Linked DNA regions of Saccharomyces cerevisiae S288C. The gene in region 1 interacts genetically with each later gene. Each region holds a gene or a part of one and is shown on either strand. Other genes may lie near its edges.

Region 1 (3,757 bases):
ACTTATCTCTGCCTTCATTAAAATAGTCATCCATTGCCAATGGCTGGGTACCCTTTTTATTTTTTGATTTCTTCTTTGTTGGCACCGGTGGTGCTGTGAATGCTGATGGCACAAAAGCCGTCTCAGATTCTACTGGAACAGGAACAGGAACAGGGTTGTCATCTTGCCCCTGCTGCTGTGCTTGTTGTGGACAGTGCTTTACTGTTGGAATCCTGTGAAGAAACCCGTATCCAACGTTGCAACCCAACCTGCCGTCGGGACCTATATGAACTGTGATTGGTCTCACACAGTCAGAAACTTTGTTGTAGACATAAAGGACCAGATCGTAGTTTGCTCTTGATCTAACAATATCTTGTAAAAGCGTCTCCCCTCCCGTGGCCAACAGGCCATCTTGGCAGCCGATAATGTAGTCTTCATCTGGGATGAGCCCTGCCGATTGGGCGGGTCCATCTGGGATGTTCACGTTCAGGATATGGTATGTGAAAGTGGAAGCTATCAAAGGCGTCCATTGGACTTTGAACCCGAGTGCTTGGAACTGGTGCGCTTCCCCACTAGATGGCCTCCTCTCGTCATGGTTTAGAGAAACATCGTCCAAATCGTCGCTCTCCTTCGATATAATGCTGATATACTCGTCTCTGAACGTGCCTCCTTTAGCTGACCATATGTTGACCTTCAAAGTTCGGCCACAGTGTTCATTGAAGATGGATGTGATACGACGGTAATCTGGGTACGAAAATCCGTGTTGATTACTGACCACCGGCACCGGATCATCATTGAAACCTACTATATAGTCGAAAAAGGACTGCAGTTGGAACTGCATCTCGTCCACCCAAACAATGCGGAGACCGGAAAGCGTTTCATTGACGTTGGTGTGCTTAACACCTTCAGAAACCGCATCTACGGGTGATTCCAACTGAGCAGACAACAAATTTGGTGGTATAGACTGAAAGAAAGCGTCCAGATTGCTCGAGTCCTGCGAGAGTGCCAGGGTATCTTGCACGCTCTGCTCAAAAGTCCGTACGAGGTTTTTAGCTATTCTAAACATAGTTCTTCTTCCTATACCTTTTTACTTCCCTAGTTTCGCACGCTGTGTCGGTCGCAGTTACAGTAGTAGTCTCAGCACCCCTGTTCTTGGTCCTGATCCCGTTGCGACAAGCCCATTTCTTTTATGATAGCCAAAATGCAACTAAACCTCGTCGTCGTCGGCTTGCGTGTCCGCCGCGAAGACAGAAAAATAACGAAACGAACTTAATAGAAACGACCTAGATTTTATTTGGAAGCCAGCCCGATGCTATCTTCAAAATGGCTGTCACTGGGTGCAAAGGCGGTGGGAGAGCCCATTAAGTAATTTAATCGGGTTGTCTCACCAATGTTAGCCACAACGCAACGCTACGTCGCCACTCTGGCAGCCACCGCAACGAGCAGTAGCAACTACTTTCGGGTGGGCCCTTCAGGGGTAGTTGCCTGCGTCTTTGTTCGAAGAATCAAGTGACAAAAAACGCGGGGCATCCAGAAAGTCTTTTTGTGTGTGTCGTCGAAAGGGAAAGTGAGAGAGTGAGAGTGAATTAGTGTTTGTGTGTGTGGAAGACAGAGGAAGAAGATCGGGTCGTCGAATTCTATTATGCTTGCGATGCAGGGGGGGGAAACATGTATTCGGGATTATATAAAGTCGATTCTGTGTAAGTGTAAAATCTCATCTTGTCTCGTGTTCTTTTGTACGTCTCATACTTATAGGAAGTTTAAATAGAAACAGATATCAGTGTATCAAGGAAGAATTGTACAAGAATCGAATCATAGATACACAGTAATGTCATTTGAAAATTTACATAAAGTCAATGCTGAGGCATTGGAAGATGCAGTGGTTGAGATCTGCTCCTCATTGCAGGTTGATGCAGCAAAGTTGGACGAACTAACAGCGTACTTCATTGAATGTATGGAAAAGGGGTTGAATAACACCTCTGTAGGCGAAGAAAAGACGGTGGACAAGGGTCTACCCATGATCCCTACATATGTAACCAGTTTGCCCAATGGGACGGAACGTGGTGTTTTGCTGGCTGCAGATTTAGGTGGGACTCACTTCAGAGTGTGTTCTGTGACTTTGAATGGTGACGGAACCTTTGATATGCAGCAATTGAAGTCTAAGATTCCGGAAGAATATCTAAATGACAAGGATGTCACCAGCGAGGAGCTGTTTAGCTACCTGGGTCGCCGTACAAGGGCCTTCGTTAGGAAGCATCATCCTGAGTTGTTGAAGTCCACGGGGGAGAACATAAAACCTTTGAAAATGGGATTTACCTTCTCATATCCCGTTGACCAAACCTCTTTGAGTTCCGGTACTTTAATCAGATGGACCAAAAGCTTCAAGATTGAAGACACGGTCGGCAAGGATGTCGTGAGGTTATACCAGGAGCAATTAGACATTCAGGGGCTCTCTATGATTAATGTGGTAGCTTTGACCAACGACACGGTTGGCACTTTCCTATCCCACTGCTACACTTCAGGCTCTCGTCCATCGAGTGCTGGTGAGATTAGCGAGCCTGTCATTGGTTGTATCTTTGGTACTGGTACTAACGGTTGCTATATGGAGGATATTGAAAACATCAAGAAGCTACCAGATGAGCTCAGAACAAGACTGCTGCATGAAGGAAAAACCCAAATGTGCATCAACATCGAATGGGGTTCTTTCGACAATGAATTGAAACATTTGTCTGCTACAAAGTATGACATCGATATTGACCAAAAATTTTCTCCAAATCCAGGTTACCATCTATTTGAAAAAAGAATTTCCGGCATGTACTTGGGTGAGCTGTTAAGGAACATCCTGGTGGACTTGCATGCAAGGGGCTTAATCTTGGGACAGTATCGTAATTACGATCAATTACCTCACCGTTTAAAGACTCCTTTCCAATTGTGCAGTGAAGTTCTTTCCAGGATTGAAATCGATGATTCGACAAACTTGCGTGAAACTGAATTGTCGTTTTTGCAGAGTTTGAGGCTACCGACCACTTTTGAAGAACGTAAAGCAATTCAAAATCTGGTCCGTTCCATTACGAGAAGGTCTGCATATCTAGCAGCCGTTCCGATTGCCGCCATCCTAATCAAGACAAACGCTTTGAACAAAAGATATCACGGTGAGGTAGAAATTGGTTTTGACGGTTATGTCATCGAATACTATCCTGGATTCAGATCCATGCTGAGACATGCTTTGGCATTAAGTCCAATTGGCACTGAGGGTGAACGTAAGATACATTTGCGTCTAGCCAAAGATGGGTCCGGTGTTGGCGCAGCTTTGTGTGCTCTGGTGGCATAAAACATATCTGTTCTTAACAGCTTATTTTTAGTTTGTTTTCGTTTTCCTCTATATAAATATCTTATGTATCTGTTATATAAAAAATTATTTAGTACGAATTGAAATGAAATGTTATGTTATATTTTTAGAGAGAATCTGCTATTACTTTATACATGTTAACTATATACATAATAAAAAAAAAAAAAAAAATATTGTCTAAAATTAATCATTTATTTGTAAGTTTTGTTCAAACTGCCTGCTAATTTCACCTTGGTCATAGCTCTGACTCTTTTTCCCATTTTCATTACTGGGAAAGAAGTTTGGATAGCCCATATAAGAATAATTGTCTAAATCGTTCGGTCCCAATAGTTTCTCAATGTTGTATTTTTCAGTTTCGTCATCATTTTCATCAAAATTACTTTCCATAGCGTATTCAGCCCAATTTTCGCGCCTAATAAAATAGTTTTC
Region 2 (3,757 bases), on another chromosome or scaffold:
TTGTATGGTCATATTATCATCATCATTTAAATTTTGATTTGACACTTGATTTGACACTTCTTTTTTTTTTTATTTATGTTTTGTTTAACTGACGGTGTTTTTTTTTTTACGTTATACTGATACATATATAGACGTGATTTATTTAAATAAAAAGTTCTATGAAAAAAAAAAAAAATTAAAAAAAAAAAATTAAAAAAAAAAAATCTTTGACTATTCAATCATTGCGCTTAAGCGTATTCGTTAACATTAACGATATACTCGTAAACAAAGGCAATGGCAGATAAATGACCTGGGACATCCACGTGTTCATTAACCGAATGCAATGTCTTCAGTAAATCAATATCAATGATAGAGCCAACAAACCTATAAATGTTCTTGGACAAATTCCAGTAGTATTTAGTATCGGTGTTACCAGAGAATAAACCAGTAGTCACATAGAACTCTTCGTTGTTTTGTAGAACACCGTTTTCAAAAACATCTTGAATAGTACCTGCCAAAATGTCCCAAACAGGGCCTGAACTTGGCGAAAGTGGTGCTGGTTCCAATTCTCTCAAGAGAGTAATGTCAATGTGACCTAACTCGGTTTCAGGGATAATGTAATCGTCACCGTTCTTAGATAAACCATAGCCATACTTCTCAGCAATCTTTTTCGCATATTCTATGTTTCTTTCAAAGACTTCAGCCACAGAAGAATGTAAATTAATTCTGTGATTGATCAAGAATCTGGTAGTTTCGGGCAGAGCATTAGCTTTAACACCACCATTGATGATATCAACAGCTTGTGTTGTTCTTATTAAGCTGCGCAAATGTGATTGGTTGGAAATGTACTCAACAAGCTTGTCCTTCCTTCTAGGACAGAATGGTGCGCCCAAAATTGTCTTCTTCACATCCTTACTTAAAGATTTAGAATGTTCAGCAGCACATGTCAACAATCCATAGATTGGATTGTCAAACTCAAATTCGTAGTCAAATGGGTTGGCTTCAAATTCAGTAATCAGTTCTGAAGCGATACCGATTGTGGTATGATCAGGTGGGACAGAGGAATGACCACCATGGCCTAGAATACTGACTTCGAAGTCGACATAGCCTTTTTCAGCGTTGATTGGAGTGGCAACAAAGACATCCTTGTCGACTTCCATGATACCTTCACCCTCGTCAATGATACTGTAAATACCATCATCACCATATCTTTCGTGAAGAAATGAGGCTAAGCTGGCAGCACCGAGGGTGCCGCTTGCTTCTTCATCAAAACCAAGCGACATAACAATAGTTCTGTTGGGCTTGAATCCATCTATCAACAGTTGTTCGATAGCTTCAAACTCGGCAATTAACAAGTTCTTACAATCGTTAGAACCACGCCCCCAAACAAAATCTGTTTCTGGATCATAGTGACCAGAAAATGGAGGGAACTTCCAGGATGATAAAGTTTCGTTGTTTACAGGTACAACATCTTGATGGGCCATTAACAATAATGGTTTTAGATCAGGATCAGAACCTTCCCATGTGTATAGAAGACCCAGCTCATTGACTTTCTCCAATTTCAAATGCTTGTGAATATTAGGGAAAGTCTTCTCAAAATAGTCGTGTAGTTCATAAAAATGCTTATAGAAATCCGGATCATCTGCGGGGTTGGGGTTTTTGTCTTGGACTACAGTGGGGATTCTAACAGCATTGGACAGTTTCTCAATGGAGCTGTTTCTAAAGGCAGGGTCATGAAGAATTGTGTCGACGGAATGTTTGAATGATGGACTTAATGGTTCAATCTTCTCACATTTGGGTGAGTGCATGGGACCTTTTCCATGGTGTGGACGCTTTGCCTCATGAGGTGGTGCTGGGTGGAGACCCGAAGTGAGGAAGAAGGTGCCGATGATAATAAGGGCAACTATTCCACTAATAAAGGCTCTGTGCCTTTGCCATAGGGACTTTCTAGGGGCCTTCTCTACTGGTAAGGCGATCATAATGTAATTGTTAGATGAATGATTCCTTAATGTGATGATGCAGGATTAGTTTTACAATGGGAAGAGACGTATTTGGGGTACCCGTTTCTTTTATATGTCATAAACTTTCTTGCCCGACCTTGGAAGGCTGTATCGTATTTTGCCCAAAGGGGAAAATAAAAGGCCGCTATGATAAGATAAGGGTGGCGAGGCTGAGATAACAAGAAGATGTTCTGAGCATTGAGCATTTAGGATAACAGTGCACAAGATCACGCGGTTCAATTCGTCACGTAAAGCTACTAGAAGTGGGTGTTTCTAGTAGCCTGCAAAAAGCGTCGTTCTAAAGAAACTTTTTTCAATGACACATTTACTGAAAATAGAAAAAGACTATCTATTCGTAGCTGATTTTCAAAATCCGTATGGGAAATCAGAGGTTATGGAACTGACAACGTCGTAGGAACAAGCGATATGCAAATCCCGGTGTCGCTTTGTTTGTGTATCGCTAAAAGCTTATATGCAATACTCGCGAAGGTACTATAATCCCTTGGACTAGGTCATCCCAATTCTTTGTCTTTATCAGTAAACTCTTATCTTACCTTTGGTCTCAAACTGGTATTTTATTTGCTGAATATTAACTACCACTAGGGATTACTCGTAAAATTATGAAAAAAGTACCATATGAACTCCAATAACGGTAAGTGATCAATAGGGAACAGCAAGTCTCTTCTTCTTTGCAACGTCAAGATTGATCCTATGCTTTCATAATTTCCCTACATGATGGCAGTCATACTCCAATTAAGTGCTACAAGAAAGAGGCCTTCGCAACAACTGTGTCAACGCTTGCAAGTGCTAAATTGTACTACAGCACCAGTGGTATCTCCTATAGTCAGTTACATAGTAAAATATTCAGAGGTCCATTACATAAATATATATATATATGTAGAGGCATCCATCCATGTTTGTCGATGCAGCTGCAAGCACCCAACAAGAACAGATGACAGCCAACAGTCGTTGACTAACGTAATGGGCCACTGCTGAGAAGCATCCACCGCCCATGCCATGGTTGGAATCATGACAAGTCGCCCTATATAATGCCTTCGTTCTTTAATATTGACGCGCCAAATGTGGCAATACGCGATATTTTTTTCGTTCGTGTTTAAATAAAGAGCAATATAACACACCCTTCACCATTCTTGTAGAACATCGTCTACCAGTAACACAAGTAAAAATGGCCAGCGAAACACCAAGAGTTGACCCCACAGAAATCTCCAACGTCAATGCTCCTGTGTTTAGGATAATAGCGCAAATCAAATCACAACCCACTGAATCTCAGTTGATTTTACAATCGCCAACCATATCATCGAAAAACGGCAGCGAGGTTGAAATGATTACGTTGAACAATATTCGTGTATCTATGAATAAAACATTTGAGATCGACTCGTGGTATGAGTTTGTTTGCAGGAACAATGATGACGGCGAGCTAGGATTTTTGATTCTAGACGCTGTACTATGCAAATTCAAGGAGAACGAAGATTTAAGCTTAAACGGTGTGGTTGCTTTACAGAGACTATGTAAGAAATACCCAGAAATATACTAGCTAAAATCGCTTTTATTCTTACCTTTATGTACTGTTGCCTCTATATGTCTTCCCTTCATATAATAAATTCCATTTCTAAAAAAATTGTAGTTGTGTTTATAGATGTATAGATAGATAAATGAATGTGTACTTGCTGCCTTAACGCCTTCCGCTAAAAACTTTTTGATATTTATTTTATTTTTAACCTTTCCTGACTTCAACCCTTACTGTAATGATGATAGTA
Region 3 (3,757 bases), on another chromosome or scaffold:
AGTTCTGCGTAATTATTTTCTTGTCGGAATTTAACAAATCTGGAAATTTGGAATTATTATTGCTGATCTCAAATTGAATCCTTGGATGAATAAACTTCAGCAGCTTCTCATTAACCAGATCTGCTATCTTAGATCTTAGAGATATCGAGTACAGATTTTGTAACGATTTGGGCAGCTTAATGCTGCCGCTGTCCGCCGAATCTGACAAGGGGAAAAGCAGCAGAGTCATTGCTAATTCTAACTCTTGCATCTTTTTGACACTTGACGAAGCCTTTATTGCAAGTTTATTTTGAGAATACTGAATTAGATTGAGTATAAAGTCGTTGGAATCCTTGGTGATGTTCTCCTGTTGATGGTGACTTCTTATCATCTCGATCAAATTCAGTAACAGCAGTTTGAAGTGTAAATCTCCATCTATGTCAAACTGCTGCTGCTGCTGCTGCTGCTGCCTGTCAGTTCTACCCGTATAACTTCCCGTAGCATTGAAAGTCTCTTCCAGCACCTCCAGCCCGAAGATAGAGTTTATCTCCTCCATCGCCTCATTGATACGCCCCAGCTTAATAAGATGTTTGATATGGAAACGCTCCTTGATCTTGTACAAATCATTGAAAACCGCAATGTCTTTGTTGTTCCGTATAAATCCCAGCTCCTTGGCCATCCTAATGCTCGAGTCTTCATATGCCATAGAAACAAAGTAGTTCAACAGAAGCCGTGGCAGTGTGGGCTCTATGGGTGTGGTCTGTATGGTAGCAAATCCCTCGTCCTGCGAGCCGCCACTGCTGTTGGGCTGAATTTTCAGCGGATAATGTATTGTCTTATTTGCATATAGCTCGCCCATGGCAGAATACTTGGCCACCTGCTCCTTCCATTCTTCCTTCGTGAAGCACTTCTTTCCATACGTAAAGTCTTTCCCACCATTCTTGCCTTGGCCGCTGCAAGATCCGCTCTTCGTGGTCTCGTTACTAAGAGTAGATATAGTCATTTCTATTTGTTACCACACACAAATATATCTTCATCCGGCTGATATTTGTCTCTACTGCCCCTTTGCTTGCAATTTAATGACCAAATTACACATGTTAGCTTCAAGAAAAATGATGTACCATCAAAATGTCTCCTGCAACGAACCGGGGCACCGCGCCGGCAGAGTCAGGAAAGCGAGATCGACACTGATAGTGATAAACAGCAACACAATGGAGCGATTACCATTCACTCGGAACGGATCCGGACAACAGTCAAATAAACTCCGGGATCCCAAAAAGGGCCGTACACACAAACCCAAGCCGAGCGAAAAACACAAAAAAAATAAAACAGGGAAAAAAGGAGCGCAAGAGAAAACGCACAGGAGTAGGAGCAGCAGAAAGGGGAACTAATATGGTTTTTCCGTTTGCTTATTTTTATTTTTTTGTTGAGTCATGGGCACGTCACCGCACAACAGCCGCCGCAGGCCTGTACCGCTACGCGTCTATCACTGCGAAACATCGCTACTTCTGTCGCCGCGTCGACGCTGGTCCAGACCACAAAAGGATGCACGATCAGAAGCACTGTACCCTGCAGAGTTGGAGATAGTGTAACCGTGACTTCATTTTTCAAGCGTGGTTTCACATTCTTTTTGCACCGCCCTTATCTCAGATATAGTTTCGTTCGGTTGCTTTGCTTTCCCCAACTGAAGGTGCTGGATGGCGGTTTTTCCGGCTGCTGCGATTTTCCCTGCGCGGGGCCCGGCGCGGAATTGTGCAAAAGCTAAAACTCAACGGTTATTTTGAAATATAAGGTTATAAGCAAATTTCCTAAATTTGCTTAATTGTTAATGCAGTTGTTATTGCATTAAGACATTCGGCTATCGTTTCCTTTCTTCGTGTCGGCAATCTTGTATAAAAGTTATTTTTTGAGTTTCAGTTTCTTGTATATCTTGGTATATATTGAAGGAGGATTTTTTCTTTCCTGGTCCTTTTACTTCCTTGCGTCCCCTCATATTTCTTCTATTTCCGTTCACGGCGTTTTTTTATTTTCTCCATCTACTTTTAGTGATTTCCTTTGCTCTAATATTGTTTTCGTTCATAGTGAATTGTTTGTTTTCACTTTAATAAAGGGCTTTTACGACTTGTCTCAAAAAATTTCATCGAGATGCAAGCCCCCAATATCTACCCCTTCTCTCAAACACAGCCACAAGCACTGCCCGGGTTCACATACGGTCCTCCACAACTTGTTTTTGACCATTCTGCTCCGAGAGTAGATCCTTTGCATTCTACTGTAACTATAAATTCTCCATTACCCTTGCAGCATTATAATGGACCGAATGCCCATATAAACAGCGCAAACAACAACTACGCATACTACTATCATCATCCCAACAATAATGATAACAACAACCATAGTAACAACACTATAAAAAATAACAACATTAATTCTGTTCTTCCCGCCGTTAATATTCAAATATCCAACAACTCACATTATAGAAATACACACCAAATTCCTTCTGCTCCTCAGCGGCTGGTCAGCATCATACCGGATCCCCACATGCCGCCCAATATTTCTCACTTTCAGCTAAATAATATTCACCCTCAAATGCATGCTCCTGTTGCTACTGATATTCATTTCCAACAAGTACCAGTTTACAATAAAACCAATAATGGCATTGGTACTGATAACATTAATAACGATAAACCCGTAAACTCGAATCAGAATGAAGTGCTGGACAATATTGATGAACGTTCCTGTCATGAAATTAACAGGGTAGTTTCATTTTCTAAACATTTTGAAAACAACGAACTTACCACTACAGCAAATGATCTAAACATTCAATCTACTATGGATGAATTAGCTAAACTGAAATCTTTATCAAATTCTACCCATTTCAGGCAGAGTATTGCTACTCAGAATTTCCATTCTTTACAAAATCATATCACAACCATCGAAAACCGTCTGGCTTCTTTACTTACTGACAGACAACAAGAGCAGCAACAGTTGAAGCAGCAAGAGTCTGAAAAGGAGAGCTCTTCACCGTTTTCCAATAAGATAAAGTTACCTTCCTTACAGGAATTAACTGACTCCATCTCCACCCAACATCTTCCAACATTCTATGACAATAAAAGGCATGCTTCGGATACCGATTTAAAGAGTAGCACCTTACATGGTCCATTATATCACCGTCACGCTTTTCTTTCAACCTCTTCTTCCTCACCCTCCCCCACGGCCGGTTCCGCGCCTCTTCAAAAGTTACAGGTTCCAAGACAAGACGATCCAAACGATAAGAAAATGAATATTTCATCATCTCCCTTCAATTCAATAACCTACATTCCAAACACTACGTTATCTCCAATGGTGCAAACGCAGTTAAAGAACTTAACCACTTCTAACCTCAACACGAAAAAGAAGAATAACAGAGGCAGACCAAGAGCTATTCAGAGACAACCCACGCTGACCACTTCCAGCCATTTCATCAATAATTCCAATCCTGGTGCTGCTGCAGTTTCAACGACAACTCCCGCCGCTAATAGCGATGAAAAGAATCCTAATGCAAAAAAAATCATCGAGTTTTGTTTCCATTGCGGGGAGACCGAGACTCCAGAATGGAGAAAGGGACCATATGGCACAAGAACTTTGTGTAATGCCTGTGGGTTATTTTATAGGAAAGTCACCAAGAAATTTGGCTCAAAAAGCAGTAATTTGTTGTTAAGATATAGAAGATCTATTGATTTAGCCAACGATCGTAGAATTCCTGATTTTATCACTATTCCAAACAGGTTTATTCATGATA

The links.
Region 2: mutations in EMI2 (region 1) and CPS1 together harm fitness more than expected from each alone (negative genetic interaction), as found in Saccharomyces cerevisiae (one large-scale study listed by BioGRID).
Region 3: mutations in EMI2 (region 1) and GAT2 together harm fitness more than expected from each alone (negative genetic interaction), as found in Saccharomyces cerevisiae (one large-scale study listed by BioGRID).

What each region holds. Positions count from the first base shown.
Region 1 is NC_001136.10:1,474,527-1,478,283, reverse strand, and holds EMI2 (putative glucokinase), read left to right. Parts: upstream 1-1,807; coding exon 1,808-3,310; downstream 3,311-3,757. Other genes in the region: GRH1 (Grh1p), read right to left, coding at 1-1,045; SLF1 (Slf1p), read right to left, coding at 3,512-3,757. UniProt on the Saccharomyces cerevisiae protein: Putative glucokinase involved in phosphorylation of aldohexoses and glucose uptake. Involved in sporulation. Required for the full activation of the early meiotic inducer IME1.
Region 2 is NC_001142.9:95,938-99,694, reverse strand, and holds CPS1 (Gly-Xaa carboxypeptidase), read right to left. Parts: upstream 1,959-3,757; coding exon 228-1,958; downstream 1-227. Other genes in the region: RFA3 (Rfa3p), read left to right, coding at 3,166-3,534. UniProt on the Saccharomyces cerevisiae protein: Necessary for use of certain peptides as sole nitrogen source. May also cleave intracellularly generated peptides to recycle amino acids for protein synthesis.
Region 3 is NC_001145.3:539,075-542,831, forward strand, and holds the start of GAT2 (Gat2p), read left to right. Parts: upstream 1-2,124; coding exon 2,125-3,757. Other genes in the region: glucose-induced degradation complex subunit GID8, read right to left, coding at 1-982.